Linked DNA regions of Drosophila melanogaster. The protein of the gene in region 1 purifies or fractionates together with the protein of each later gene. This does not show direct contact. Each region holds a gene or a part of one and is shown on either strand. Other genes may lie near its edges. The genes, in order: Faa, bru3 and coro.

Region 1 (9,077 bases):
CCGGCGCCAGTCGCGTCTGCTTTGCGCTGCACGGCAGCTTTTTTTATTTCTACGCTTTTTAGAGGCTTTTTTATGGCACTTTAAACAAGTTTGCCCGATAGGCGGGCCGTTTTGCCTTTCTGCCGTTTTGCCGTTTGACTTTTCGCAGCGCGCCCACCTTCGCCCGCCGACTTTCGAGGAATGAATGCGGTTTGCTGCTCCGCTCAGCTATGCTCCCATTGGCGCTCTCCGCTCTTCTCTGCAGCCAAAGAAGAAGCGGCGTGCGCGTATTTACGAAGCTGCGTGGAATGGCAGAGGCTCCGATTGGAGCGAGAGTTGTGTAAACGAAAGAGAGCAAGGCATCGTAGCGAGAGAGCGAAAGAGTTGAGCACTTGTTGAGCTTATTACTGTGCACCGAGAAAAAATATTACGTATACGCTACTATGGATGGCCATTTATCCCAAAAAGTATGCTTTTGAACGAAAAGTTGAAGTTTTCCGAACATCATAATGTATTGACGTATCCAGGAAGACTGAATAGAATTTATTTCATTTACTTATGTTAATAAGTGGTCCTACTGCGGAACGGGGTGGGCAGGCAGCACCTGACCCACACACTCCCCGAATCCGATTCGCAGTCCGTTCTTTTCGCAGTGGCCACGGATGATGACCTCGTCAAAGTCCTGGAGGAATTTTCTGGTCTTACCACCCGGAAGCTCCAATGTTTTGGTGCCCTTCCAGCAGAGCTCTAAAAGTGATCCGTACGAGTCTGGAGTCTCACCGGAGATCGTTCCGGAGGCCATCAGATCACCAGGACGCAGATTACAACCGGTGACTGTGTGATGAGCGATTTGCTGCAGTGGAGTCCAATAAAGGTGTTTGAAGTTCGACTTTGAAATAAGCGCTTCGTTTTGATCGGCGGCTGAGAAGGGGAAATTTTGTGAATTAACGTAACAAATCTTTAACAGGCGGCAACTTACGTTTCAAAGACACCTCGAGGTTGATATCAAAGTTAAAGGGAATGTTCTGGCGCAGATAGGGAAGCACCTCCGGTTCCTGAGGAAAGTTGTCCAAGACGAAGGGCTTCAGGGCAGCTGTGGGCACTACCCAAGGGGAGATGGTGGTTCCCAGATTCTTTGCGGTGAAGGGGCCCAGTGGCACATATTCCCACTTCTGAATATCCCTGGCACTCCAGTCGTTCATCAGCGTGAAACCGAACACGTTCTTCCAGGCCTCATCCACGCGTATGGGTTCACCCAGCTGATTTCCCTTACCACCGATAAAGAAAGCCATTTCTAGTTCGAAATCCAGAAGCTTGCAGGCGCCAAAGACGGGCTTCTCTGCTCCATCGGGAAACGTTTGACCAAGAGGACGACGGATGGGAGTACCGGAAACCACCACAGAACTTGCACGACCATGATAGCCCACCGGCAGATGGCGCCAGTTGGGCATCAGAGCATTGTCTGGTCCACGGAACATAATGCCGACATTGGTGGCATGGTGGATGGATGAGTAAAAGTCTGTATAGTCACCAATCTGTGCAGGCAGGTGCAGCTTGATCTCAGACTGTGGCACAATGGAACTGATAAATAAATAAATTATTAACTATGAATAATAAATTATTATAATAAATCCGACTTACACCGCCTTCAAGTCCACATTGTGGTCCAATTCTGAACCCTTCGTCAATAGCTTTTGAGTCTGGCTTCTTACCACATCCCAAGCTTCAAAGTCCAATCCCATAAGCTCATTCAAAGTTTCGGCCTGCAGGCTTTTCTGAACTTGGAAAGGAAACAACTGCGAGACAGCTTTCAGGTCCAGGACATGCTCTCCAATGGCCACACAAATACGGTGAACTTTCTACGGATGGTAAGATGAAAAACACCATTTACGATATACAAATACGATATATGATATGGGGCCTTATCAGAACCTGGTTGCTGGGGTATTAAAGATTGGATTAGCATATTGTTTTCGTAAACAAACTAGTTTGTCTTGGATGATGTATGCAAATGCTATGCCCCAAAGCGGTTTCTGTTCTAAAGTTGATTTCTAGAACATGTGGAACGATCCAAAGTCACATGAAACTGAAGAAAAACTTGAAAATATTACACGGAAAACAGGCTGAGTTAAAGGAACATTTGCTTTGCCATTTACCACTTTAGTTATCATTTACAACAGCGAGACCATTGTTCTAAAATCTCATAAAAATATAAGATTTGATTTCAGTATGATATCACTCACATTGTTTTCGGTTGAGAAGACAGCGTAGGGTAGATTTTCCAGCGGAAAATCGCTGTTCTCTGGCACTGGCACAAAACTCTGGGACATTTTAAAAGCACTCAAAGTGGAAAACTTGGGCAGGTTGGTGCGAATCAATAAAGTGAAGCAGAGAAGCGGAAAAAGCGTGCGCGGAGCCAGAGTGAGCTAGATAACAACTGAGGGATTTTCTATTCACGATCCGCCTTATATAGGTGCTCAGACCACAAGATCTTTCGGCTCTCTTAGCAAAACCAAGCCCCCAAAGGTAAAGAGCGCCTTAGACATAATGAAGAGAAATTTTAATTGCGCTTTGATTACTTTTATTTATTTTACTCATATATTCATATATATAATATATTCATTTGCATTTATATAGATGTTGGAATAATTCTTGTTTGGCATTGATTTGGATCTGCAAATACATATACATACATTAATTTATACATACATAAAATGAGCGTGGTGCTGGATAAACTTAGATAACACGCTTTAAAGTACTATAATTGTTGAATTTATTGTAGTTTTTATGCCATTATTTTCTTACTTTTGCGGAATTGACAAACGAGTTTTGTGCACAGGTAGAATGTAATGTCTGATTGTGTTCTTTTCATATAGGGACATTTCACTACCAACCTTTCTGGAACAACTAACTGATTAAAACTTAACTAAAATCTGAATCTTCCAACATTCGTAATTGAGCTTAATTGACTCCGGGCAATACATATATACTTGTCAGCCATTTTGTTGAAACTAAACTCCAACTAATTCGATTATACGTATTCACGTCTCTATATATAGCACAGTTCGATACATGGACTAAATGGGTTCTGCGGCACAGATCCCCTCTCTTTGGTTTGTCTATACAATTAACAAGCACAGGTCTCTTTCGATCTTGTTTTTATAAAGGTACGCGCATGGCTATAGATATGATATATTTGAAAACATTCTCTGTTTGCAAACAAAGTGAAATCAACGAATTGAACTAAGGTCCTCAACTGGCTCTTCATCTTCTCCTGATATGTTAAGATAGCGTTCCAACAGTTTCTATATCATATACATATATATCATTATATCATCATAGTACTTTTGTGTGGGACTGGGGCTGTCTTTCGTTTTGGTGGTGCGTGTGTGGAGCGGTGGCTTCTATGCTCTGAATTCTATCGTTATTTTTCGGTATACATATAGATATTCAAATATAACTTGTGGATTCTCCTCTCGCCGTCCATTGATTTAGATATAGTTGCCAACGAACGTAAAAGTAAAACGCCTCGATTATACATAGTACTTTTTTTTCCAACTCCGGGACGAACGGATAACGACGCTTAACGAATAACGGTCAACGGATAACAGAATGAGAAATCGTAAAGGAACATCTAGCAACACGTTATAGATACAAACAAATGTACATTCAACATTGAACTCTGATGATTACCGGGATACCCATAATCGCCGGCTCTCGGATCTCTGGGCTCTTCAGCCGGTCTCCTGATATGCTTTTACCTAAATGATACTTCTTGGTTGTGTGAGATCTACCATTACCAATCGAAGCCGAACCGAACCGAGACGAGCCGAGCCAAACTAGACTGAAACCCCTTACAAGTCGTCGCCCAGGCGATGGATCTCGTCCAGCATAAAGTCCACATCCGCCTCGTTGACCGCCGCCGACGAGATAATCGAGCGGAAGAAGTTGGGCCGGCGATCGTCGGGCTGGTAGCCCACCATCAGCGTTCCCTTCTGCATCATGCGGCCCTTGATGATGGGGCAGATCTGCAAGGATAATTGGAAAGTGTTTAGCACTATACCGCTATATAATGACGATCTTACCTTTCCCAGCTCCACCTCCTTCTTGGCATCGTGTGGCACTCCTCTCAGTCGCTTGGGCACATACCAGAAGGAGACGTTGACGCACTCCGGTTCAAGGATCAGATGGAAGCGGTCGGACTGCTCGCGAATGCGCTTCAACTGGTACTGGACCAGCTCCATGAGCCGGTCCTGCTGCTGCTCGAAGCCCTCGGTGCCCTTGGCCCGCCACTGGAGCCACAGCTTGAAGATGTCGTTGTGGCGGCCGCACTGGATCACCTTGTCGCCGGTGTCGTAGCTAATGTCATACTGCTTGTCGGTCATGAAGAGATACTCCGCCGACATCTGATTGCAGCTGATGAGCAGGCCCTGCGTGAAAGATGTACAATAGATATACGAGTATGAACATATCGATTTGGGATGAAATCGCTCACTACGCAGCAGACGTAACTCCGCTGTCCATAAGTCAAGCTGAAATTTTAATTAAAATTCCGCCTGCCAAAAGACGCAACTGTGACCGATGGTAACATATTGCACGGGATGTAAAAAAGCCAGGGTGGTGACTTGGCGCATTTGGTTCGTCAAAGATTTCATTACGCATTGTGTGTGCGACTACCCTTGGCCATTTCGCTCCTGGTTTGGCAGAACGAACGGAACGAAACAACAAGGAATTGTTCGGAGTACAATTGGAATTCTTTACACAAACATTGTTCGATGTGCATCCAGAAGAATTTTGGGTGAACCGTCGAGGGGGAATGGGCCGGTTGGAAAAGGAATTTAAAGCATGGGGTTGAGCTAGGGGTATGCCTCCAATTTGTATCGCTTGGTTTGAGTTTCTGCGGGGGGGATTGGTGGTGGAATGACTCCTCCGACAGGCTGGCCTTTAATTTTAATTTGCAACTCAAAGAGCAATTATTCGTTTATTACTTTGCAAACAATGATTTCAGTGATTTTGGGTAATAAAATACGAAAAATGTGAGGTCACAGCTGTAAAGGATATACAATTTCGTTTGGTTGGTGGGGCTGCAGAACAAATTGTACGTTGCATACTTTTGTAACATGGACTTAAGCCACAACTCCCATCGAAATTCCACAAGCTCTGCAAAATCGATGCTACCACTTTCTAAGCCTTGAAATCTTGCCAAACTTTATTTAAATTTAAAAAAATGTTAAAACACCTAGCATAAATGATTTAATAAATTGATATCTCTGTAATAGTATACTTACATCCTCCTTGAAATGGATCGTGGAGCACTGGAGCAGGGCTCCCATGAGCTTGTGGGGATTCCAGGTGACCGAATCGGCACTGCAAGAGTTAAACGCACGGCGTTAAATGGACATTCAATTACGAATTACAAACAATTAACACTAAGCTGCCGCACTGCGGTACAATTCCCACTCCCAAGGACACCAATCCCACCCCCTGCTGTTCGACAAGAGTTCCAAAAAAAAAAAATCTAATGGGGGGAGGGATGCGGAAGGTCCTGGCAAGTGCCATAAATTGTGGCAATTTCAGGCCGCAGCACTTTAATTGAATTCAAAAGAGCGAGGACAACCCCCTGCGGCACTGGAGGGTTGACATTGACAGCTAAACATCCCTGTGGGAGCTATTTACAGTTATGTGGGCACTGAGAGTGTGTGCCTGTGTGTGGGCTGGGCTTGTAAGTGTGAGTGAGTGAGTGGGTGTCTATAAACATGATCCTTATGGAGTGCCTTGAAGTATGCTTCACTTTTTCAAGCAGTCTGCTGCTATGGGAAAAAGGGTATATGGTTTGTTTTAACGGTTTAGCATATAACAAATAATTTAAATACTATAATATTAGTCATAAACTTATAAAGAAAGTATTTTAAATATTTTGTTGCAGTAAATTTGAAATAAGTTTGAAACTCTGTGCTTTAATGTAGATTGACTTCAAACTTAGAGGAGTATCATTTAGTCGTAACACTTTTGACGTCTAATGCTTATTTGATTGAGCGGTGGCATGTGAAGCTAAACTTTTAAGAAGAGATTTTCGATTGTTTTAAGTTTGTTCGCAAATTGAAACTCAGCGGATTTAAGAGCCTCCTCCATCGAAGGACCATTAATCAGTTGCGTAAGCCGCCGAAGGCCACAAATTGTCAGCTGCATGGGCATTTTAATGATTAATTCGCGCTGAGAGCCTTTCAATTAAGGACCTCGATTTGCATGCCACAACAATTCGGGCCTTAGGATCCATTCAAACTAATTGAAGGCGTTCGCCTGGGTGATGGATGGACGGAAGGAAGTCGAAATGGGAACGGGAGTGGATGTTAAGTCCTCCTCCGTCGATGGCAATCAATTTGAAAGTGTTCTGTGGAGTCGGCTGCTTGACCGCAAGCTGTCGATTCCACGACAGCTGCACTTGCCGCATTTGCCTAAGCTTCCCGAAATGCTGAGTAGAATTAAAGATGTTATATGAATTGCCGAAGTAAATGGATTCGGGTTGGAAACGTAGGTCGTGCTGGAGATGGAGTAAAGTGCATTTCAGGTTGCGACTTTAAAATTAAAAATTCCTAGCCCCGGGGATGAATCCCTATTCCTGACTTGCCCGCCCATTCATTGTTTGGCGTAATTGTTGTGTAAGTAATGCCCATGGCCATCCAAAACACCCCCCTGGGCTAGATGGATTGGTTGGGAATGGGAGAAGGGGAAATCCACTTTGTTCATTTGTTTGTTCGGTCCAAAATGCACTCGGCTTGTGAATTGTAATCCCTGTAAGCTCTGAACACCTGATGGAGGCACTAAATGACAAATTGAGATTTTTCCCACATGTTCAGCACGCCGCCGACCTTCAAAAGGGGGCGGCAAAGTCGAGCGATGCGGGCCATTTGGGAGCATTTAGATTTAAATTTACCCAAACCGGGAAAGAGATTTCAATTTTTTGTTTTGACTGGCCCTGAAGATGAGGGCGCCCAAGGCACAAAGTTCATGTCAAGAACGATGATGAATGGGCACAGCAATTGCTTGGGACAAAAGATAAGGTTTTCCAAGGGGTTTTTAAAGCACTTCTGAGCAGCTCACTGGAACTTGAAGGAGTAAAAGATGGCTTAATTTGCTACATAAAAAGTATACCGCACTTAGAAAATTACTAGGACTTAACTACTACAACTCCAAAAATATTATTTGAAAAATGTAATATATATTTTTCTAAAAACTTACCGCTCAACACCAGTAAATCTGGGATGACGATGCTTACGCGACATCAACAATCCACCGCCCCAAGCAGCCTGGAAAAAATCAGAAAAAATTAGTAATTAATATTACAATATACGATCCTTGCAACTATTAAGTATCTATTGTTTTTTTTCTACTCAATTAGATTGTTTTGTTCTTACATCGATGTGCATCCAGCAGTTGTACTTCTGGCAGATATCCGCAATCGTGTTGATATCATCGAAGGCACCCAGCACAGTGGTGCCGGCAGTGGCGTTCACAAAGAATGGAATGTCACCCTTGGCCTTGCGCTCCAGGATCAGGCGCTCCAGCTCCGAGGTGATCATCTTGCCGTGCTCATCCGATGGCACCACAATGCAGTGATCGGTGCCCAGTCCACAAACGGCAGCGCATGATTTGATCGAGTAATGGCACTGATCCGAGGTGAACATCACCAGTGTGCCGGGCAATCCCACCGAGCCGTGCTCCTTGTAGTTCGGGAACATCTTGTGACGAGCTGCCAGGAAGGCATACAGATTGGAGATGGAACCTCCGGGTGCCAAAATGGAATCGCCACCCGACCAGCCAATGATCTCACGCATCTTGGTCAGCACCACATTCTCCATGAGAATGAAAACTGGTGCAATCTCGTAGGTGAACATGTTGGTGTTCGCAGTGGCCGTCAGCCACTCACCCGCCATGGAGATCAGGTCCAGACCGTTGGACAGCTGATTGAAGAAGTGGGGATGTCCTGGAAATTGTTAAAGAAAATATATGTATATGTTTTTAGTAGAGACCTTTCATCAAATATTTTGTAAGTCCGCCCTCTAAATTTGAATTCCAAACTTTAATTAATATTTCCAGTGGTAATACTTTTGACAGTTTGTATGTGCCTGCCTAATGTAGCTGAAAATGCTTTCCATTTAGCCACGGCTGTCTGGCTGTCTCTCCAAGTCTTTTCTGGGGACTTTTCTCGCTTCTCCGGAGAACCGAGTGATTCTAAGCTGACAGCAGATGTGCCTGGCAGCTGTGCCTCTGCCTTCACCCAACAACCCATCGCCCGCCCCATCAGCCACCCAATGTTTTTCGTTTTTTGTTTTATTAAAAATATATTCGAGGCCAGTGGCAAGTGAAACAAAGGCCGGGCCAAAACACGGCTGACTGGGCCCGAAAGGAAGAAGAATGTGTATAGGAATAGACTGCCGGAAGTGCATATGTTCAAGGGCAGACGGTACAAGGTCCTGGTGAATCAATAGCGGATAGTCTGCTCGAAATCCGTGTCCCCGGCTCAACAAGTTTTGCCCTGTAATCCTTAGACCCCGCATTCTGTGAGCTCTATAAATTGCTCATTTATTGTAGCTAATTGCGACTTGCCGAGCTTCGATTTTGGGGTGAAATATGTGCAGAGTGGGGCAAAACTCCCACGAAGAATCACAAAATGCTTTCAGTCACCATCAGGAAGCTGTCCAACTGCCGGATTTTTACCCCGCTCCACTATACTCCAGTTTGAACCCTTCGGCGTCTGTCAGTTCACATCTTGAGTGCCATAAGTCGTGTGATTAAAATCCCATTGCCCACAAGGCTAAATCCACCCACAGAAATAAAATACATGCACTTGGAAAAAAAAAATTGTCCACTAAGTAATGATTAAAAAATAATTGCAAGCCAAAGAACACAGCAAACATTACCCAACATAAAAACTATCATACTAAAATTTCGTATAAGCCAAAGCAAACAATCTAAAAAAAAACAGTTTAATAATATTTTCCAGTTTACTGAACTTTTACAACTTATCCGTTTTTTTTCTTTTATTAATTTCCCCATGTGTAAACTGACAGAGCGTTGGCATCCAAACATTTCAATTT
Region 2 (9,585 bases), 9.7 Mb from region 1:
CATCGTCGGCGTCATCTTTCTCCTCTTTCGGTCCAGATCCTGCACCGCTTGTTTTGGCCATCCAACCGACGAGTCGGGTGTTGATACATTTTGGCCCGTAACTTTGACGAGCGTCAAAGAGAATTAAAGCCCCTCCAAAAGCCACCACCCTTCGGCCCCAGTGTTTGTGATTCCAGTGAAAGTTGTGCTTCAAAAATTCGACAACATCTCGTTGGTGGAAAGCAAAAGTATTTCGGAAAATGCAATTAATTACCAACTCATTTTAATAATGCTGATTTGGAAAAGCTTTTTAAAACATATTTCAAATTGATAGCGTGTCTGCTTTGAATGCCATCTTCGTCCAGAACAATAATTTGAAATTAAAGTTATTTCATGTTTTCAGTTTTGTCTTGACTGTGTTGTCCTGCTACTTCTTAGTTTGCTGTGCCGCACGTTTAAATTACATTAAAACTTTATACGATTTTTATTGTTAGTGGATACATTTGTGAAGCATAGTCATATAAATCAAGTTGCCAAAGCCATCCACTCTATACTGCCATCCTTAAAGAGATTTAGTTTTCTTTTATTTAGCTAACTAAGCAATTTGGCGCGGCTTATATGTCTGCTCAAATTGACCGCTATAAATTCAGACAATTTAAGCAGACACAAAACGTTAAAATAGTTTTACTATGTTCAGCGAAACACTTTCCAAGCATTGCAGGCTATTACTTTTCCAATCGAACTCCCACCTGTTAAACAGACATTACTCATACGCACAGTGTGCTTGAATTGAAGTTAAGAGTTGGCGTCCCATAAAAATGTTGATCACATTTTATACACTGACCTATGGTCCTGTCTACTTCCGAGGTCCTTTCTGCCTGTCCACACTGAACCTTTTAAAGTTGTCCACCCATGGACTCACAATAAGTTAAATATGTGTGAGTGAGGCAACTGCTGCTGATTCTCCCAGGCGCTACAGCCATTATTTCTTCCACTTGCGCAGCTTCCTTGGCCAGCATCTTAGTTTCTGTGGCCGTATATGTGTGTGTGTGTGTGTGTCTGAGTGTGCTATGTGTGCCCAGCTGTGCAATTGTTGACACCCACAGAACACAGAGCCACGTACACGTGCAAAGGGGCTTGTTTTTCGATACAGCAGCTGCAGCTGCCGGCTTGAAACGCTCCATTTGTGCAGCCAATCGCTACAGGCGGCGGCCTGTTATTTATACCCTAACCAAGCTGATGGAATAAGGATTATTAAGGATATGCTAAAATGAAAAGTAATTTGAACTGACCTTCGGAATGGAAATTGCGCCTTCAAATTAATTTACCCTGTGATAAAAGATAACTAGAAGAGTGTATTATTTGACTTGAGTCTAGCAGAAAGTGTACTAAAAATTCGTATAATAGCAAACGTATTTTCTTAATATACATTAGTTTGCCCCCTTAAGCTTGTGGTTCCAGAGCCTGACTGCCTCTCGCGCATTGAGTTCATTACCCCGTTGTGGTTAAGAAGGAGTGGCGGGCTTAGGCAGACTAATGTAATATTTAAGCGACAGAAATATTCACAAAAAGTTCAGCTTAATCGCAAGCTGCATCTGTTGCTATACCAACTTTTGCCTGGTATTTAAGTAAGGCATCAAAATTAAGCAAAACCTACGGAGTCTGCCCGAGGGAAGCCAAGCCCAAAACCACTTATTGCCAAAGTTTCGGCAAACTCCTTCATTTCATTATTGATTATTTCCAACCTTTATTTTCTACGCTTTATTTTGTTACAATACCCAGTTCAAGTTCCTCAGCTCTGAACTCTCTTTTTATGAGTACTTTAAAACTCCTCGAGTTCCGCTGACTTTTACTAACTTTGATGGCAGAAGCGCACGGATGAAAAGATTTGTGACGATTATTAAAAATAATTTTTTCCCCTTTTTGTGGCATTTAAGTGAGTAGCTGTAAAAATCTATAACGTTATTTTGGCGAGAAATAGAAAATTGGCAAAAATAGTATTGTAGTTGACTAAAGACGAAAACTTTAAAAATACCAAAATTGTACCCACATGTAAGGAACAAGACGAATTGTAAAGAAGCATTTAAGCTGACTTACAAAACTTAATGGTGCCAGAATTGCCAGGGCCTTTGAGAGGATTCTCTCTGTTTAAATCGTTCCACAGTAGTGTGATCTAAGCTTGTTTTGGTCCTTACAATATAGCAAATGTCGTCAAATCCATACACAGAAGTAAACATCCACAAACACAGACACTTATGGGCAGACCCAGAAAGCCACGGGCATTGCCTTCTAAGTCTCGTCCTTTTTTTCCACTGTTGTCCTTTTTATTTATCTCGCTTGCTCATTTTTGTGTTTTTGTTTTGCATTCTCAACGAGGCCAAACCGCACACACACGCACGCCCCCATGCAAATAACGCCACACACACACACATATACACCCATACACCCACACACATACACGCGCACACATAGACATGGTGAATGAGAAGAAGACAAGGCGTGACAAGTGCAGGCTTCATCCGAACGTGCCCTCTGCACTCAGCCCCTCCACCACCTCTACCTCCTCCCCCGACGCCTGTCAAGTCAACACCCTTCTCCGCCCGCTGCCATAACCAAAAAGAGGAAAAACTTTAACTAGATGCATATATAAATTGCGTTCTATATATTTATGCCCCGACATATATGCAAATGCATCATGGCTGCGCGGCAGTGGAGGCACAGCTTCTATTAAATATGCTTATTATGACACAAGCAAACATACAAACTTAATGTTTATTGGGTTCTTGGCGTTGGGTTCACAAGAGCAGAAAAAATATTTAATTGATAAATTCAGCAACGATAGCTTTACTGGCTGATTTAAGTGGATACAATTAAAACTAGTTTCTCTTTCTCTATTTGCGCAGTTCTTTCGATTTATTTGTTATAATTAAATTAATATGATTTATTTTAACCGATTTATTTGCACACAAAAAATAGTGTAAAAATTTTTTAAATATTGAAAAAAAAAAAACGTATAAACGCTAGTATTTCGCAGCTTTTTAAATTTGCCTTTAAATTGAGCTTCTGATTAATAGCGCCTGTTTTTTATGCCGGCAAAGTCCTTCCTTTTTTGTGTTAAAGATATCCTCTTCCATTCTCATCTGGTGTTTTCGATGTTTCTCCCTTAGGCTTTTTGGCTCATCTTAACTCACAGCGTTCCTTTTTAGTTTCACTGTCTCCATTCGTTTTGCCTTCCATAAATAAAATAAATGTAGGTGAAAATATACATAAATAATGGGCACAAGCGCGGCTTTTTTTATGAAGTGTTTGAATGTGCGAGTGTCAACCCAGGGCACTTGAAAGATGGTGGGGAGGGGGGCTTGTGATGGGGGCGACGTCTGTGAAAATTATAAAACAGACGACGCAGCCATTCTGGCGGGGCAAAGATATTATGGCCTCTGAAGGCTGAGAAGGGGACCCCTGCCATGTAGGCGTGTGTAAATAGCAAAAACCTAGTCGGGCGTACACAAGCCAAGTCATCATGGAAAATGGCTAAACAGGCAAAAGAATAAGGGCCAAAGAAGATAGAAAGATAACAGAGTGGAAGGCATGACAAATACGTTTTCTCTGCCTTTTTTTTATGGCATATACATATATGCCCCGAGGTAGTGGGACGTATAAAGTTTGACCTCCAATCAATAAATCACATTAAAAGGGGATCTTTCAAGAAATGAAGAGAATGACAATGGACAAAGATGGCCAATAACTGACCCATAATTGTTCATTGTCACGTCATTGTCCGCGTCAGTTGCTCAAGGCACATGAGAATAGTATCCAGCAAGAAATGTATTTATTCTTGGCCTCTTTTTCGTTCTTTTCCGCTAATTATTGTGTAATATTAATCTTATTAATAAATAACAAGGAATCATAGTATCCATATACTAAGAAACATCTCTCTAATAGCTAAGAAGTATCCTTTTCTTGTCACCTAGATCTCGCTTTTCTCCGCAAGCTAGATATACAGCCCAAGTATCCTTAATAAACACCGCACCGATAAATGACTGTTACTCATAGTATTCACCTAGAAAGGATGATGTACTTTTCCCCGAAATGAACACTTCGCCATTAAATGGGTGAGGAGTATCCTTTTTGTATCACTTGGCTCTGGATTTTCGCCGCTTTTCTCTCTTCATTTTCTTCTGGGCCAGTCAGGTCTCATCATCCGCTTGCGCTTTTTTCTCAGCTTTTGGCTTGATTTCCTTTTTTGTCGCTACAGCCAGAGTCCTTTTGCTCCGCGCTTGCCTTTTACTAGCCCAGACTGCGCCCACAAAGACGTGTACATATATGTGTTTTTCCAGCTGCCAAAAGGCTGCGCTTGGCTTCTTCGCAGCCAGTGTTTTGTTTTTGGCTTCGTCAGCCAACTTTAGCTATTGACAGACCTTGCCACCTCGCGTCCATGTCCTTGCTGGAAAACATTTCGCTTTCAGCGCTCATTTTGCAGGATGTCGGGAAAGTGATGTAAAAAATATACACAACAATTTCAAGATATCTTCTGTGGCCTATACTGCGTGCCCAAAAGCCATAATTATCACGCGTTCACATGGCGTATACGAGATTTTGCTGTTTCGCGTTTAAACTCTTAACCGAAATTTATGCTTTCGCTGTTGCTAATTGTACATTTTGTTGCTCTTGCTGTTTATAATGTAAAATTTATTGTGTTTGTGCATGTTTATTATCGCCACGCCGTTACGCGCCCTCATATGGATTTGTAACACGCCCCCCTACACCCCCTCTTTAAACATCACTGTGCATTTATGTTTTACAGCGTCTGCAAAAAATATTATCAAAAGTAATAAATGAATAACAAAATACAAAACAAACGCCATCAATAATTCATGGGAAAAAAAACAACACAAACAGAAATAACCAAAAATAAAAGCTTGCGGCGCGTCGTTCTTTAAATATTTTATAAATTAATTCTGCAAACAGCGTAAGCGAAATTAAAAAATACAACAAAAACATCAGGAATTAATGTAGTGCCTAATGCAATGTGTAATAAAACCGTGTAGACCAGGAGGTGCGCCAGATCATTAAATACCAGCAAACACTGTTAGGTGAAAAAAAAAAAAAAATTATGAAATACAAATTTATATTTATTATTGAATAAATATGCAGAGTAAATATTACATATGCTAACCGTGAAAACAAATTGAATTATACAGCAAATAAAACAACAAATACTTTTCGTCGTGTTTTCGAATGTTTGGCTATTAAAGCGCTTACAGCTTAATTGGGCGTTACAAAGTGGTAAGTAAAAAAATAAACACTTTTGATAAACAATTATTTTTGAAAATATAAATTATTAAAATGATTTTAGTCAAAAGTTTCATAGAATAAGAAGATGCTTTACATATTCATAGTGTTATATTTTGATATATGTCCGTTTCTCTTTTTATTTTTTTAGCCCACATTAATCAAACGACTATCTCAGTAAATTTGCACAGTATTATTATAGTTTAATTCATCGCACAAAAGACTCCTTAATCTTTCATGCAGCGATCTTTTAATATCCTCTAACTATTATCAAAACATATCAAAAATTGTAATTAAGATACCATTGCATTTCCCTTGGTAAATATATCACAGTTTTTTCTAATTTAAACACACGTACACAACGTCGTTCATGGCTTTATCAGCCAACTTTGCTGATTCAAAGATATCTGTCGACCCTCATCCATCAACAAAAACCCAACCACAAATGTCACATGCAAATTCGGTTCGCCTTGTAACGGAAGTGCAAGCAAAAAATAGCGAAAGATTTTTATACATAACTTTTTATGCTACTCATTGTTGGGAGCAGAAACTTCAACCTCCTTCCAACGGTTTGAGGTGGTGCTTGCTGCACTTTTGCGGCGAGGTGAGCTGTACGGGTGTGTGCACGTTTTTGCATTTGCACCACTTTATTTCAATTTTATTCGCCATTTTCTTCGTTTGCGTGGTACATTTCCTGGGGACGAGACGCAGCAGTGACTTTTGCTCGGCAGCTGACTCGACTCCACTTTCCGTTTACCCTGGGCTGCCCTCCTCATTACCCTCTTTACATTTCTAATTACACGCTCATTTTAAACTTGAAACATTTGCAAACGGATGCCTGGGTCTGGAGGAGTCTGCGATTTTCAGTAACAATTTTCCATTTCCCATGCCATGAGGCTGCAAAAATGTTGGGTCACAAACGTAATAGACCAGATTTTCCTGTGACTGCTAAAGAAACCTAGCTGGCCGACCACAAATGTCTGGCATCTAGGGCTTGATTTGGAGACAAGTCTTGCATTTGACAATTTTCTTTCATTTTGGGGCCTGAAAACATTTTCCTACAATGTTCTCAATATATTCCACTATTTTCGAGTTCATTTTAAGACCAATTGATATTACTAGTAGTATTTAATCTTAAATGTTCGCTTAGGGAATAGTAATTTTTAATTGCCGTTTTTATACTTAGAACACAAAAAGTAGACACTGTAATTTGCGAACCCTGGACATACCAAACGCGTTTTCGTTTTGTTAAGTTACTAAAAAATTAAAACAATGCTGCATGTCCATTTTGCATGTGAGGAAACATTTGGCGCGCAAGTAAATGTGCATGTGGGTGAGATGGTTTTTGCCGTTTCTAGACTGCTCTTTGTTTGAGTTGTGTTTTAATTTCCATATTACGTGCTGGCCAGAGATTTATCAATGCGATTTATATAAGCCATAATTTCTCCATTTCACCCAGAAGTAAGTTAGTAAATTACTGCAATCGCTTGCAACATCAATGGGTAAAATTTAACAGCAATAACCTTACATAAGATTTCACTATTTTCCTTTTTTTATAATAGTTTGAAAAATTTATATTATTAATTGTTTAATTAGAAATAGAATAAGTATGGATTAGAAAGTAATAATGAAGTGAAAGGAAGCGGCGTTGACTTACGTTGCCATTTGACCTTTTCAGGCCCCTTGAAGGGCAATTCTAACACACTGTCTCTCTCACAGGAAATGTTTATAACATGTCCTCCTTTGACAACTTATTCAATGAAAAGTTTCAAATAGTAGCTTATGAATAGTAAAAGAAAGATTATGAAATCTATTGGTAAGCGTTTAAAATGTAATTGAAATATTGCTCATACGCAGCATGTGCCCATTTATTGAAACTGGAAAGAATGCCAAGTTGGTTCATACCCAGTTGGCCCAATCAGGCCAATTCAATGACATAAATCTTAAGGCAATAAAGCAAAGAATGTCGCAGCATGAGACTATTATATTGTGCATACTGAGCTGGTAAAGCAAATCTCGTAAATGTACTAATATAAAATTGGTATTAATGGGCTGTCGCCTTAGGTGAAATTACCTTTAAGAATAATTGTATAAACAAGCAAGGGGATAGGAAGTTTAATAAGAAAGTATAAACTTTATAATTGAGAAAACTATTTAAGCCTATTTAAGCTTTTTTTATCTAACCTTTATCTCAACTTTTTCCGTTCTATGGTTCTACTTTTGCGTCTTTAAATTTAGCAATTGCCGCACTTGTAGGAAAGTTTCAATTATAAGTCAGTGTGCCAAAAATTGTTTCACAAACTCTAATTAATTTATAGTGCTTCACAACTCGTAGCTTAAATGGTGCAGTTGATAAATTGGCGAGATAAAATTATAATAATGCTGATGTGGAAATAAAATATGCAAAATACTTATTGTACAACTCGTTCCTATTTAATGATATCTTTTCTCAGTTACTATTAAATATGTTAATCTGCGCAAAGCGGCACTAAAAAAAATACACCAACACGCAGGTAAAACTGAAAATACCTTTAAAGAAAACAAACTTCAGCGGCGCTATCAACTGCAGATTTCGCTGTTGGTATTGCCAATTTAAGCGAAAATTAAATTGGAATTTGCAATGAATATTTGAACAAAAGTACACAGACCAGAGTGCGGTAAGCGAGCAGTGGTAATGGGATCGAAGCGAGAGGATGGGCATAGGCTGCATGAAATGAACACAAGTGTTGAGCAAAGTGAATGCGTAATGCGTTTTTGCACCCGGAACAGGACAGGACCACCAAAAAAAAAAAAAAAAAAGTCGGACGCTGTCAGTCACCCAGGTCCGTAATTTGCAGCCCGGGTATTCCGCTGAGTTGTTTCCTCCGGTATATGTGGTTTTTCTTTGATATCCTAACAAAAAGGATGAACTCATCAGAAAAGGATTTGTAGCTCTTCAGAAATAATGATTTCACATGCTCGCATTTACAAATACCACTTTTAATATTTATTAAGTCTTTTATTTTAGATGTTCTCTAATGTTTTGGTCCTAAAAAATTAAGTTCTGTACAGCACGCTCTTAAAGAACAAATAGAAAAAACGTTGGGCGCCAATCTTTCGTTTACATGTTAAGATAAAGGCTTAATCTATAATATATATACGTCACAAAGCTTATATTATTCCATAGACGATGTGAATAAGTTTTGAAATGAGTTTTCAATAGAGGCCTTCAAAATCAGGAAGTTGCTTTCTGATTGAGTGAAGCTTGTTTGGTAGGTCTCTGAAAATGTGCACGCCTGCCCAGAACAAATCCATTCCTTGATGTTGACCCCTTTAGATCGAACGGCAATTGCAATGGATTTGATTTTTCCATACTTTGCCGTCGAGCGTGACATCCACGTAGCCCTTCACGCTTCTCCCGCTTCCGCCCTTCTGTCACATGTGAAATTGGGCGGCTGACATGTTTGCCTGTGTTTTTTTTTTTTTTTTTTGCCACCACCTCCCGTTTTTCCATTGCTCATGTTAGAGTAGGTAATTTTTTAATGCATTTAAACGGCTGTCAAGTGGCCCACACACGCCACTTCGCTTCTGAAACCGCTCCACATTGCCTCCGTGCCCCATCCTTTGCCCTTTGTTAGCAGTTTTGGAAAGTGACGCGGCGCGAGCAGTTGCCCAAAAATATGCAAAAACCCGCGAGCACTTACGACAAGCTCGTTGCGAAGGCAGGAGGACTATATCAGGTTGCGGCCCTCAACAGCAAAGCAAAATTTAGACATTCAGCCTACAGTTTGGTGTTCAGTTTTCATTCACCGAAAAGTGAAACCAAATAGAAAAAAAATGCTTTTTCGAGGAAATAGCGCACAGTCGATGGGTAGTTAGTTGCTTGACGAAATTCGTTCATTGTCCTGTAGATTAGGAGAAATATAGCTACAAGGCTATGTCTAGTTGTATCATAAACAACAAGTCAGTTGCAGGATTGTTATGTTTGCAAAAATCAATAAGTTAATAGGAAATGGATCGGCATTGATAATACACATGCTGCTTGGCAGAACATCTAGGATTCGTTGTAAAACGTGCTTTTATTTCCCTTTGTTTTGAGCACTCACAACGTTGGCTTGCCTGTCGGAGCAGAGTCAAGTAGAGGACATACAAAATTGAAATAAAGTACAAACATGTTGCCAACTTTTTGCACAGCAGCAACAACAACAACAATAACCACTGTCTGTCATTCAGTCTGTCGGTCTGTGGAATGGTTTAGGCCCATAACAACAACAACAAACAACAACAACAACAGCGACGGAGAGCGAGGCAGGAAAAAGTTTTAACTGATTACGT
Region 3 (12,907 bases), on another chromosome or scaffold:
AAGCGAGAGAGCGCACAGCATACGCCCACACGCACAGCTATTTCGGTTGCTCCCCAAATGGGTTAAGAAGCGAAACTTAGCCAACACCAATTAGTGACAAAAATATGAGAAATGCACTGGAATGAAGCACACACACATACACATTCGAGTCCAAACGCCGATCGCGTTTATGCGTCAGCCAATGTCGCGATTACTCGGCGAACAACAGCTGTTCGACGATCGCAAAACAGGCGCACGTATGAACGCCAGTTAGACTGGCAATGGACACGCCAATTGGCGGCAATACCTCCGAAAAGAACTAGGAAGCACGTAATTTTGGGAAGCCACTGCTTGAATACCCTTTTGGATAGAAGGAACATCTGAAGTTGGAGTTTTACAGTCCACCCACTAATATTAAATTAAGAAATTATCATCATCATAGACTTGGAACCGAAAAATATAGATCGCTAATAATGCTTAAGAAAGCCCAAAACCTTAATTTAGAATTTAATCTACAAAACCTACATAGGGTGATTTATCTATTATTTCTAAGCCATATCTGGATAAATTAACTTTTACTTGACTACACCTAGAATAAAATTAACCTTGATTTTAGGAAACCGTCATTGATTCAAAATATCTCCACCCATTTAAGCATCAGTGTACATTAGTTACGGATTTTTCTTTTTCTTGTAATGGCAACATACATATAAAGAAAAAAAATTTTCTTGAAAGCTTTTCTAAAACCATTGATTTAACTTTTCTAAAATGAATATTACATGGATATCTCTAGACGTAAGAAAAGTCTTCTTTGTTCAATTGCTCGTCTTTATAGCGTTTGAGAATAAAAGGTGATTTTCTAAAATCCCGGGATAATTTTTTCTCAGTGCTTCACGTTTCACATTAATCAGGTAGACATCGTTTTACCTGGAATACGCGTTCAGGGCTATAGTTAGGCATCGAATGTGTAATTCTTAAAAGGGAAAGGTACTTTTATTCGCCCATTCGGTCTCAAAAAAATCCATGTACTTTGAATTTCTAGGGTGCACAGGCATTCACAATTGCCGCCCGGTCTGACTAAGCGCAAATGGAAAAATAGAAACAAACGGATGGCGGTCACAGTGGGGGGAGCTGGGGAGAAAAAGAACGAGCGGCAATTAAGACAGCAACAAAAGCCAGCGCCACTTGTGATGGCGAGGGGACGTGATGGGTGTCGGGTGGGGCACTGCATATGCATGGGGTTAATTTTAGCAGCAGAGTTCCACTTTCACTCGTACAGCGACGACACCCACTGTGCTGCAAGCCAGTGAGTCTGCCGCGACACTTGCGCGCTTTTTGTCAAAAACTTTGGCTAATCGCCGTCAGGCACGCACACTCTGCAATCAGTTTGATGAACCTTCAACACACACACGCCTGTGTGTGTATGTGCATGTATATGAGCTGCACAACCAATGACGTTGCGCCTGCATCAATGACATCATCATCATCATCATCGCCATCAACCTCACCATCCAGTCGAGATGAGGCGAACGGCGAAAGTTTCCAGTGCAGCCGACAGCCGATAAACAGCGGGCCCCTTATCAGGGGTGACTCATGCATGTGGCATTGATCATTGGCCAGCTGATTAGGTGTCGCTGCAGCTGTGCACAGGAAGAAAAGATACCACGAGTTAATCAAAACCAAGCCGCGCAACGCAAACATATATGTATACAATGTATGATGCCGTATTGATAACACCTGACTGAGCTACAACTGGTCTGATATCTTCACGTATCAAGACAAAGTTTTAATCCATAATTATATAGTATTAATTTTGTTTTAAACCACCTGCCTCTATGTAATTGTGGTGACACGTTAAAGGGAAGCACTTGAGTTTACAAAACTCCATATCCAATAACTCTACACATGAGTTAAGCGGAGTATGTTTAATACATATTTATTAATAACAGTTTTGTCTATACAAGAATGGTTTTGTGCCCTATGCTTTAGGAAAAGTTTGAACTATCAGTTGTAGCTACTTTAATCCGGAAACCATGATGGCATGTGGTCCTACACATTTAATAGATTCTTTTTCGAGTGTACTTGGGGAATAGAGATGTCATTATAACGGAAGTGGCCGGTGAACACAACGTGTCGACAAAGCGGCAAGATTTGCAATCAAGCATTAAGTCAATTCTCGGCCAGTCCCCGATCGCTGGACCATCGCATTCGCATCAATTCAGCGACGGTTGCATCTCTCGCGATTTCAACACAAATTGCTGGAGGGCCCCACAACAGCCCCATTGTCAAATGGTTAACGCGATTACAAGACAGTCGCTGCTGAAAGTTGGTTGACACCCGCTGGTTAAGTGGCGTGCGGATTAGTTGGTTACTTTTCAATAATGATTCAGCAACAGCCTGTTTCTAATTCTGGCAGAGACGCCTCCTAGAACCAAAATCTGACTCAGGACCTTTTTCAAGACCTTTTTCAAACGGAATTCTATTAATTCTAATTATACTATCAAAATCATTATGTTATTTAACCCCATTTCATTGTTATTAAGGTATACATACCTTTCATTTATAGAGAAGTTTATTCTGATTCGTCGAAAACGTTGCAACGATTCCGACCCTATGAAGAATATATTCCTGATCAGAATCGCAGGTTATAGGTAATTTCCGAATGTACTCAAGCGAGTTTTTAGAAGAAAAGAAAAACACTGTTGAACAATTTGAGAAACTAGTGACGCTCGCACCTTTGACATCTATTGTGAATAAATATAATACTAGACTTAAACACAATAACTAGGTAGATTGTGGACTTCCATCTAATGTGAGTTTTGAAGATCCGGTACTAATTTGAACCTTTGACTTAATTTCCTTTCGAATATCTTCAGAAACAGCCTTACATTTGGGGCCCACTGTAAAGAATGGAATGCAATGTGATGCTGGGTATTCAATCACACCACCCGGGTAATGGGCGTCGGGAATGAGTTCTTCAAAGATTTTCATTTCTTCAGCGATTTTCTTGAACCCACACTTCCGTTAATCGCTGAGTGGTCCGCTGATAAAACCACCGACGGTCAAGTTGATTAAGCGCAGAAGAGGCCACTTTTTTGGCCATTGCGAGCGGAATTGCGAATGCAATTATGATCGATCGGGGAAGTGGGAGTGGATGGGGGTGGCTCGACTATGATAACTCAGGCATGGCAGGTGCCAGCGATGCCAACGAAATAAATAAACACATCAAATGCGATTTACAACGCTGCTTTGAGCATCGTGCACTGTGTTTGTATATGAAAATTTCATTTCGCCTAAGATGATTTAATTTTCTATTAATAAGTTTGACCTTCAGCCGCGAAACAAAAATTTTCCCGCCTGCAAACGAAGGTGTTTGGCATATAAACACATAAATAACAACGCATACACACGCCGCAGATATATATATATATATATAGATAGATATATTCCGGGTACAGTGCTTAGGAGTATTTTCCAGTTGGTGGCAAACATTTCGGCGTCGTTTTGGACTACATAGGCGTAGCACTTAACATTATCTCTGTGGTGTTTAGCCAACTCCGAGCTGATATTTCCTTATCAGTGGAGAGGCCATGTCGATACCCACACCCACCCAAGAACAAAGCCCTCCGGGGCTCACCTTGTGGCCAAAAACAGACAGCGTAGAAAGTAATCAATTCTGGGGTCTGCTTTGGGGCCAGTTTAAAGGGGTCAATGACAAAGTTTAGTGCTTGCAATAAATATGAATATCTTTGAGCAAAACAAAACGAAGCAACGAGGCAAAAGAGGCAAATAATTTTATGGCACTTCTCTGATTAAAAACGAAAGCTGTTCGGAGTGGAAGCCTGCCGGGCTCGGCCCAACCCAGAAATGAATTCTGCTTCAAACACGTAGCTATCTAGAAGTCTCCCGGAGTGTTAGGTATATGTTTGGGCTTAGGTTGGCCTGCGGGATCGGTTTGCTCAGCCATAACTTACGTGTTGGAAGGCTACTCATTGCTGGAGTGGCTATTTTGGCGTTATGATGTCATCCTGAAAGAAAGGGGTATGGAAAACTGATAGTTCGACACGTTCCGGCTGGCGCTTCATTAACGAAAGTGGACCCGAATGTGGCAGTTGCCAAGTGGCAGGTGAAAGCGTTCTAGGCGCCTCCCGCCGTTTCCGGCGCTTTCAGTCGCCAACATTAGTGATGCCATAAGCAATTTGATGCAACCTCTCGCGGACAAAGTCAGCGCGTCAATAGCAAGCTGCGAATGGAAAGCTCATTGATTTTCGCAACAAGCGAAATTAGCATATGCAAATTTATTGAACTAATCGAGGCTGCGAAGCGCGGTGAAAGAAAAACGCGTTAAGCTAACACATAAGTGAGCGAAGCTGAAAGCGAATAACATTGCTATTCGGTCGGTTTATGCGTCGCTCAGAACTCGGATAAGGCTAAGATCACGATTTTCAGGTTTCACAGAACTGTGTAGAAAACAAAACCTATCAAATGAGTGTTCAAATCTCTGCCAAAAAGTAGGGGTTTCATATCTCATTCAGGTGCGGAAAGAATACGGCTAAACGATTTCGCTTGAAGACTTGTTATTAAGGGCAAAGGGTGGAAAATACCAAACGCGTAAGAAATTCCCCTACATTGCTAACTATCCTTCGTACGTCTCATTTCTTTTCAGAGCTAGACGTAGAGAAGCTCAGGACTGATCGCTGACCCAAGCCACTGCAGCATCAAGATGTCATTTCGCGTAGTGCGCAGCTCCAAGTTCCGCCACGTCTACGGACAGGCTCTCAAGCGGGAGCAGTGCTACGACAACATACGGGTATCCAAGTCCAGCTGGGACTCCACATTCTGCGCGGTGAATCCCAAGTTCCTGGCCATTATCGTAGAGTCGGCGGGCGGCGGAGCCTTCATCGTCCTGCCACACAACAAAGTGAGTGCGCCACCGGACCTATTATAGTTGCACTCGTCTACGTGCGTCTGCCCCGACGCGGCCAGCTTGGTGGGGTATTTTTAAACAAGACAATGGGCAACTATTTATAGCGCCCTTTTGGCATAAAGTTTGCGGCCATTTGCGGGCTTGTTGCCACGTCGCGAGTGACGTCGACGGATTTCGCATGACTCCACCCAATCTCACATGTGTTTATAAATAGTTATAGATTCTGCTACTACCGCGGCAGCGATACTGCTAGCTGGCGCACTTTTGTAATTTGGCCACTAGCCAACATGACAAACAAATCGTCTAATTTTAGAGAGAGGCAGAGGAGCAGCCAGTTAAATGAATACAAAAATGATATTCGGGCGAATCATTGCATCGAAATGCACACTCAGCTCGGCGACTTATTCCGCTAAAAACTAATTGTTTGTATTCCACTAAATTGCATTTTCAATCTCAAAATCTTTTGGCCGTCCTGCCCCAGATTCAGCTATTCGGGCTTCTGTTTAGTTGTAGTTTTGCGCGCAGCTCCAGCAAATAGTGTGGGCAGCAGAAGCACCCATTCCCCTAATCTTCCGATGCTCCTCTTTTGATGAAAACATATATGGAAGTACACCGATGGTCGTTCCATTTGAAACAAAAATTTGTATGCAAAACGCGCGGCAAGCGATCGTTTTTTTCACTCTAAGCAGTTGCCGCTTTTTTAAGTGATGATTTCTATGTGGAGCGGCTTTCACACGCCCTATTTTACTTATTTTATGGGCACTGGATGATGAGTGAGATCCATCTAGTCGCCAAGGTTGGCCGCATGTGGCAAGTGTAGGCAAGAACAAGCACAAGTTCTTGAAAAAACCAAAATAGATTTACACTCATGGAACTCATTCGAGAAACTTTTTGGAATGATACATTTTAATACATTTATTGAAAGCGATGAACAAAGAATATTATCTAATAATATATAACAATGTTAAATTTGAAATAGTTTACCATTACTATTTGTTATAATATGCTTCGAAATATATAGATTTCGATGGGAGCTATTCGGCATTCCAATTTTCTATAATTCTAGGGCCATATTCGGAAGCAATTGGCATGAAGTTTACAATTATAAATTGCCTGCTTGGCAGATTAGCGAACATAGCAGAACCGAGTGCAGTCGGAGTCGGCTATAAATAATAATTCAGGAATTGGGCTAATGGGTCGCGAGGTTGCAGTTTTGCAATGGTTGCTGCTCATGACTTAGTCGCCATCAATTATAAAAATTTACTGTGGCGTATCGAGCTAATTGAAATTTAATGGACTCTTTCAGGTTGGTCGCATTGCGGCTGACCACCCTTTGGTGGGCGGTCACAAGGGTCCTGTGCTGGACATCGCCTGGTGCCCCCACAACGACAACGTGATCGCCTCCGGCTCAGAGGACTGTGTGGTCAAAGTGTGGCAGATCCCCGATGGCGGGCTGTCGCGAACACTCACCGAACCCGTGGTCGACCTGGTTTTCCACCAGCGTCGCGTGGGTCTGGTGTTGTGGCATCCCTCTGCGCTCAACGTGCTGCTTACCGCCGGCTCCGATAACCAGGTGAGCGAATGCTAACACTTCTTCAGAAGCCCATGCTTATACTCTCTGTATTGCGAAGGTCGTGATTTGGAACGTGGGCACTGGTGAAATCCTCGTGCACATCGACTCCCATCCGGACATCGTTTACAGCGCCTGCTTCAACTGGGATGGCTCTAAGTTGGTTACCACCTGCAAGGATAAAAAGATCCGCATCTACGATCCGCGCACTGCCGAGCTGGAGAGCGAAGCCATGTGTCATGAGGGCTCCAAGGCCACGAGGGCCATTTTCCTACGTCACGGTCTGATCTTCACCACAGGCTTCAACCGTAGCTCGGAGCGTCAGTACTCCCTGCGCGCACCGGATGCCCTTAACGAACCCATTGTCATGGTGGAGCTGGACACGTCCAACGGCGTAATGTTCCCTCTTTACGACGCAGACACGAACATGATCTACTTGTGTGGAAAAGGTGACTCGGTCATTCGGTATTTCGAGGTTAGTACAAGTAAATCTACAATATTACATATGAATATTATCTAACCAAAATCTCATCGAACAGGTAACGCCCGAACCTCCTTTTGTGCACTACATAAACACGTTTCAGACTACAGAGCCGCAGCGTGGTATTGGTCTGATGCCCAAGCGAGGCTGTGATGTGACCACCTGCGAGGTCGCCAAGTTCTATCGCATGAACAACAACGGTCTGTGTCAGGTCATCTCGATGACTGTGCCGCGCAAATCGGATCTTTTCCAGGAGGATCTCTACCCCGATACGCTAGCGGAAGACGCTGCCATCACCGCGGAGGAGTGGATCGATGGCAAGGATGCGGATCCGATCACATTTTCGCTCAAAGTAAGTGGCTAAGGTGCAGAAGCAGCTCAGACTTTTATTCCGTGTTGCGAATACAGCGCTCGCCGCCGAATGCGGCAACGGTTCGGCCACACTGCCAACCATTCCGCCGGCGATAAGAGCGTACAAGATATAGGATATATATCAGCATGTGCGCCAGCGGGGCTTGTCCACAGATGGCAATGCGGCTCGAAGTCGATGAGGCAGTCGCTGCCACTGTGGACGCCCCTTCTACAATGTATTCCAACGGCTTTTGCAGTTGCTTTTGTCTGCTAGCACAAGGACTCCAAGTGAGCTACTTGTGAGTTCCGTTTAAAGCTTACTCCCAGCATTTGCCGGTGGCTACCTACCAGCGTGTGATGCCTGCGCTTGCTTTACTTACGTTTTTTCTGCGTTATCTACGTTTGTGCCTTGTCCGCCCAGCCACATTCCACTCCAATACACAGACTACAGTCCTCGTTCTCCGTTGTACAATGTCACTTGAGACGAGGCATCTTAAGAATGTTTTAGTGACGACCGGAATAAAGAGTATTCACAATGATCTAAAATGGTTTAGTATTCTAAATGTTAGCTAACTTATTAAAGTCTCCTATTGGATACAGTAACACGCCGCATAAATGCACACTTGGCCCTAACACGCACGCGAATGCGCGTGGCGCTTGTCGTTGTGTTCATTGTTGTTTGTTGTGTTCTGAAACGAACAGATTTTCTTACCCGCCTAATCAGGATCGCGTTTCCATTGTACAGGGTGGCTACGTGTCCTCGTCGGTAAACAAATCGCTACCAGCGAAGAAGGCGGGCAACATCCTGAACAAGCCTAGAGGCGACAGCGCTAGCTCCGGTGCAACGAGCAGCAGCGCGGGCGGCGGCAACTTTGCGTCCGGAAATAACAATGAGGCTAGCGAAGGTGGACCGCCTGCAGCGGTTTTATCGGTGAGTACTTGCACTCCTTCAGCGGTTGTATGATTAACTTATTGGTTCACTTCAAAAGGAAAAGGACCTGCGCACCATACAAGACGAGATCCGCAAACTTAAGGCGATCATCGTCAAGCAAGAGAACCGCATCCGCGCTCTGGAGGCCAAGGAGGACGCCCGCAACAAGAATGGAAGCGATGCTGCGCCGGCTTCAGCGGGAGCAGCCACGTCTGACGGCAAAGCCAGTGAAAGTGCCAACGACCACGCGTCCACATCAGCCGGAACGTCAAAGGACGAGGACTAGGTCTAGCAATGAAACGAGGACTGAACTGATAAAAATGGGCGGAATGGATTGGAGGAGAGACAGAGAACTGCTTGTAGAAGCTCGTAGCTACGCTTAATTTCTCTATTGCAACAAAGCGCGCTGAGGACGAATTGAAAAAGAACTTATTGTCTATTACCATTATGGTTTCGATTATTTATTTTTTATAATTTAATATTAGCGAAATCAGTTGAGTGCGGGTGTGGCACAGATAGGGTTAGAGAATGCCGAGCTAAATCATCTAATCGAACTTAAGCGAGCATAACCGAGCAGACCTGGACGCTTAACGTATAAAACATAACATAAAACTACATCCTGCCAAAAATATATAAAAAACCTAACGAACTACCTACATTTTGCGCCCAAAATCAAGCAGAGCGAAGGGCAGGTACTCGGCCCTTTGATCGGCTTGTTGTTACGCAAGTATGAAATTGTTGTAAATTTAACAAAGGCAAATCATAGACTAAACCTCAATCACTTAAGAGTTAACACCTACCTACCAAATTTGTACGAGCTCCTTTCTGTAACGTCTGTATATTTGTACGTCCCGGAAGTTTTCATGACAATAGCTGATAGAATCGATACTGTTCATCCTAGCTGAGGCCCCCTTAATCAGTCACATTTCCCTGCAAATTGTCGTGTCAAACATAGCGAATTTAGTAAGAAAGTGATGGGGGTCATCGGACTTAATTCGTTTTCGTAATCAAAATTTTATTGTTCAAACTAATGATAAGCTGTATTTTGAAATAATAAGAGTAACAATAAATGCAACAAAATCAGAAAGAAAGTAAGAAACCATCGAAACTATTTTTATAAAAATTTGTTTACTTTTCTTTTCTTTCATTTGATTTTACTTTCATTAGTTTTGTTAGAGAACCGAGGGCGAGAGCAGCGTCATTAAACACCTACCGATTTTGTAATTCACAACCATTGTAAAATGAAGACTATATACATATACATACATAAATACTCTATATACAAATAATTTACAATTTGATACGGAATAAAACAAAATACAATGCCAGAAGAAGTTGGGTGCTAATAATGGAGGTGTTTCGTATCTAATTCTTTTCGTAATGTGTGTTCTTTTAGCAGCATTTTCAAATATGTAGATGTTAGTCGACAATGGAATTTTTACCAGCTGCACTTTAAACTAATTGACAACTTTTAATTGCAGAAATAAGCTCATCCATGCGTTATTCATTGCCGAGCCTATGTGTTCGGTTCAATTGAATATGCAAATTCGTTTAATTTTGCCTAAACAGCTTTTGAGCATACTGCCGATGTGTTGTGTGTAATTATTACCTCAGCGAGCAAACCAAAAAAATGCAATTACAATTTACGTGTACAACGATTCTGACATTTTAATTAAACTTGGCCAAGTGCGCTTTTGTGGGTGGCGCGTGGCAATTATGATATAGTGTGTTGCCGACCAAGTTGTTGATTTAATTAAAATTATGTTTGTTATGCAATTTGACTCACTGCAAGTTTCAGCGATTATCGGTTGCAGTCGGTAGCTGTGGGCCATCTTGGTTAGCCAACAGTAAAGGCCATCTAGCTGCTCTAGAGCAACCAGACGTGGACTTGATATTCGGAGTTCAACATTAAATACTATCAATTATATTAAGTAAGTTCGATCAAATTATTAACTGAGTCATAGATGCATTTGTTAACTTTGAACTAAGATTTCGTTTTTCAGACTGTCAATAAATTTCAGCCGGCGTCGAGATGTACGAGTATTTCAGTTAGTAATTAATCGTAACAAACTTTCAGTACTGGCTTAAAGTATTCCATTTGGTAATGAGGTCTTGAAAAAAGTTAACAGTCGGTTTCGGATTAGGGTAATGGAATTTGTAAAGCAATGATAGCTAAATGTGTAGGTTGTTTTATTTTTAGCGCTTTACTTGTTTAAAGACCCAATGCACAGTTTCCTCCAACCCTTCTCCAACTGTTCATAAAAAAATTATATGCAAAGGTGAAGGGTTCTTCCCTAAATAAATGTTCTATTCTACGTGGCTTTTGCACGATGTGATTAGAAATGTGATCTGGCCGTCAAATGGATGAATTAAAATGGCCATTTAAGAAGTCATTTGTCAAGTGATGTATCCATTCTTGAAATTGCTTGGTAACTTGTTTAACATTTGGCTTTCCTACCAATTTAAAAGTAACCTTCAAAAAACCAGCTGGACATCACCTAACTTTATGAATTTCCAAGGACAATTCATTACACTATATGCACTTACTGCAGCATTAGTTGTCAGTACTGTGATTATCCTTGGTAGTAACTTGGGTAGTACATTTATGCAAAAATTACATTGATTGTGCATTCTTCAGTAATCCAGACAGATTGGACCAAAGCCGCTATCAAATCAAGTTATAATCATGACTTTTGATGGGCCAGTAGATTATGATGCCCGGCGGCAGTAAAGGCCAAGCCTAATTTATGTCTACTTCCGCATCCAGGTAAGTTTACGGCCTTCTATTAACATTAACGCTCTACGATTGTCGAAACCGATGGAAGGCATTTGTTAATTAAAAGCAAGCAGCAAATGTGCCAGGAGCAGAAGGACGTGGGAACACGTGCTAAATAAATACTCCTTGCTAAAGTTGCTAAGTACCAGCAGAGGTATCGCCTCTCCAGGACCTCAAAAGGACCCCCACCGAACCCCCTTGACGGCGGCTCTGTCGTAAATTCACGCGGCCCGTGGCTTTGTTTGTGTTTGCTTGCGTGCTCCTCGTCCTGTTAATGCATAAAGAAGTATACGCGCGCACAAAAGGAGCCGTCAAAACATTACTTTCTCGTGTCGGCGGCTCGTGTTTGGGTATTTGTTTATTTTCGCATGAAAATAAATGCGTATAATGGCGGAAGTTTATGCCTCGTAAAGAGAAGTTAATTAGCTTTCTGGAGTATAAAATTTGTTACGCACTCTGCCCTTGATCAACCAACCACATCCCATCATACCGCCGCCGTACGTTCTCAATAGCAAATTGAAAATTTTCCAATAACACATCCAAATATATGCCCACAGAAAGTTGGCCAACTTTCTTCACCCTTGACTACTATTGCTGCACGAGTGCAGTGGGAAAAATATTGAAGCTACGTGTTTGGTTATTGGTAAAGCAAAGTAAAGTATCGTTCCTCAACAATTATAGTAGACTTTGGCGACTTTGCGGCGCATTTCGTTACTAAGTTAACTACAGTCCACGGTTCATTCAAAATGTACAATACATGCCCATGGATGATTTGCACGAGGCAAATGACGGTATAGGTTCTATAATGCTCTATTCTCAGATTACCATAATATTCACATAACTTCAGGTCCGTTGTCGCCAAATTTTTGTGTCAGTGCAGCTGCTGATCCCTTTGCTGCTGCGGGACAGTTGATGTGTTAACTTCGTGGCTGGTCGTCCCTTCAGGTGAGTCTTAAAGTCAAACTGGCGACGTGTTTGCATCTGTGCCGCACAGGCAAATATTTACGGCATGCTTGCTGGGAGGATGGGCCATAGTTTCCGGCGCAGACAAAAAGTTGTGTTGAGGGACAGCCGACATAGGAGGACGAAAGTTTCGCAAAGGCCCACGCAACCCAGGAACATGAAAATAGTTTTTCTTCAGCCACATTTATGAAATGTGCACCGCAGGGTTAGTTTGAACGAGTGTCTGTGTGTAGAATAACTTTCACTTTGTCGAGTGGGTAGCGGGGTGGGGGTAATGGGAAAGAGCTGGGACTAAGCGGCTTAAAACTTGCACTAGGATGCCCAAAAGTGTCGGGCCAGCAACTCTCGCAGGACAGGAGACAACTGCCAACTGCCATTTTTGGCAAATATTTGCACAGATAATGAAAGTGCGCCCCATCCTGGAACATCCTGGATCGACTGAGAGCGTGTGTGTGTGTGATAGTTGGCAGTTGGACAATGTGTTGAATTCAGTTTGCCGCCTCTTTTGGGTTTCGATTTTGTTGACAATTCACTTTGCAGCGGTAATTGACCCTAATGCTGTTGCTGCCGATTCCGCTCGGCTTTCGCCTTTAAATCGATATCACTTTTGGCAGCTAAATTCAATTTGGCAAAGGAATCGCACACACACACTCCCCGAGATGGATATTGCACGTGCCTAAATACATTGCAAAAATGTCAAAAAGCACGTTTCAGTATTTTGTGATTTCGCCTTTGCATGTCATGTGTCCCAAAACAAAACTTTGAACTCCGGAGCTGCTTCCCTCCCGCCTCCAGTTGCCAACTACGTGACTACCGTGCAGCACTTGCTCTACCAATAAATGTCGAGCTGAGATGTGTGCGCCAATGGTGTAAGGACGCGTGCCAGCCAGAGTCAAAACAATCCCATCTAATTCAATTACAATTATTCA

Evidence for each region.
Region 2: the proteins of Faa (region 1) and bru3 purify together in Drosophila melanogaster (affinity purification with mass spectrometry, with the first as the bait; one large-scale study listed by BioGRID). This does not show direct contact.
Region 3: the proteins of Faa (region 1) and coro purify together in Drosophila melanogaster (affinity purification with mass spectrometry, with the first as the bait; one large-scale study listed by BioGRID). This does not show direct contact.

The regions. Positions count from the first base shown.
Region 1 is NT_037436.4:4,071,532-4,080,608, forward strand, and holds Faa (fumarylacetoacetase), read right to left. Parts: upstream 2,424-9,077; 5' UTR 2,310-2,423; coding exon 2,223-2,309; intron 1,839-2,222; coding exon 1,621-1,838; intron 1,561-1,620; coding exon 959-1,560; intron 901-958; coding exon 554-900; 3' UTR 501-553; downstream 1-500. Other genes in the region: Gad1 (glutamic acid decarboxylase 1), read right to left, coding at 3,834-4,007, 4,065-4,409, 5,268-5,346, 7,219-7,286, 7,395-7,963.
Region 2 is NT_037436.4:13,793,704-13,803,288, reverse strand, and holds the start of bru3 (bruno 3), read left to right. Parts: upstream 1-4,761; 5' UTR 4,762-5,265; intron 5,266-9,585.
Region 3 is NT_033778.4:6,858,680-6,871,586, reverse strand, and holds coro (coronin), read left to right. Parts: upstream 1-3,791; 5' UTR 3,792-4,020; intron 4,021-4,062; exon of another isoform or gene 4,063-4,105; intron 4,106-4,446; exon of another isoform or gene 4,447-4,590; intron 4,591-4,645; 5' UTR 4,646-4,702; coding exon 4,703-4,900; intron 4,901-5,702; coding exon of another isoform or gene 5,703-5,720; intron 5,721-6,212; coding exon 6,213-6,479; intron 6,480-6,537; coding exon 6,538-6,951; intron 6,952-7,015; coding exon 7,016-7,309; intron 7,310-8,032; coding exon 8,033-8,239; intron 8,240-8,297; coding exon 8,298-8,525; 3' UTR 8,526-9,327; downstream 9,328-12,907.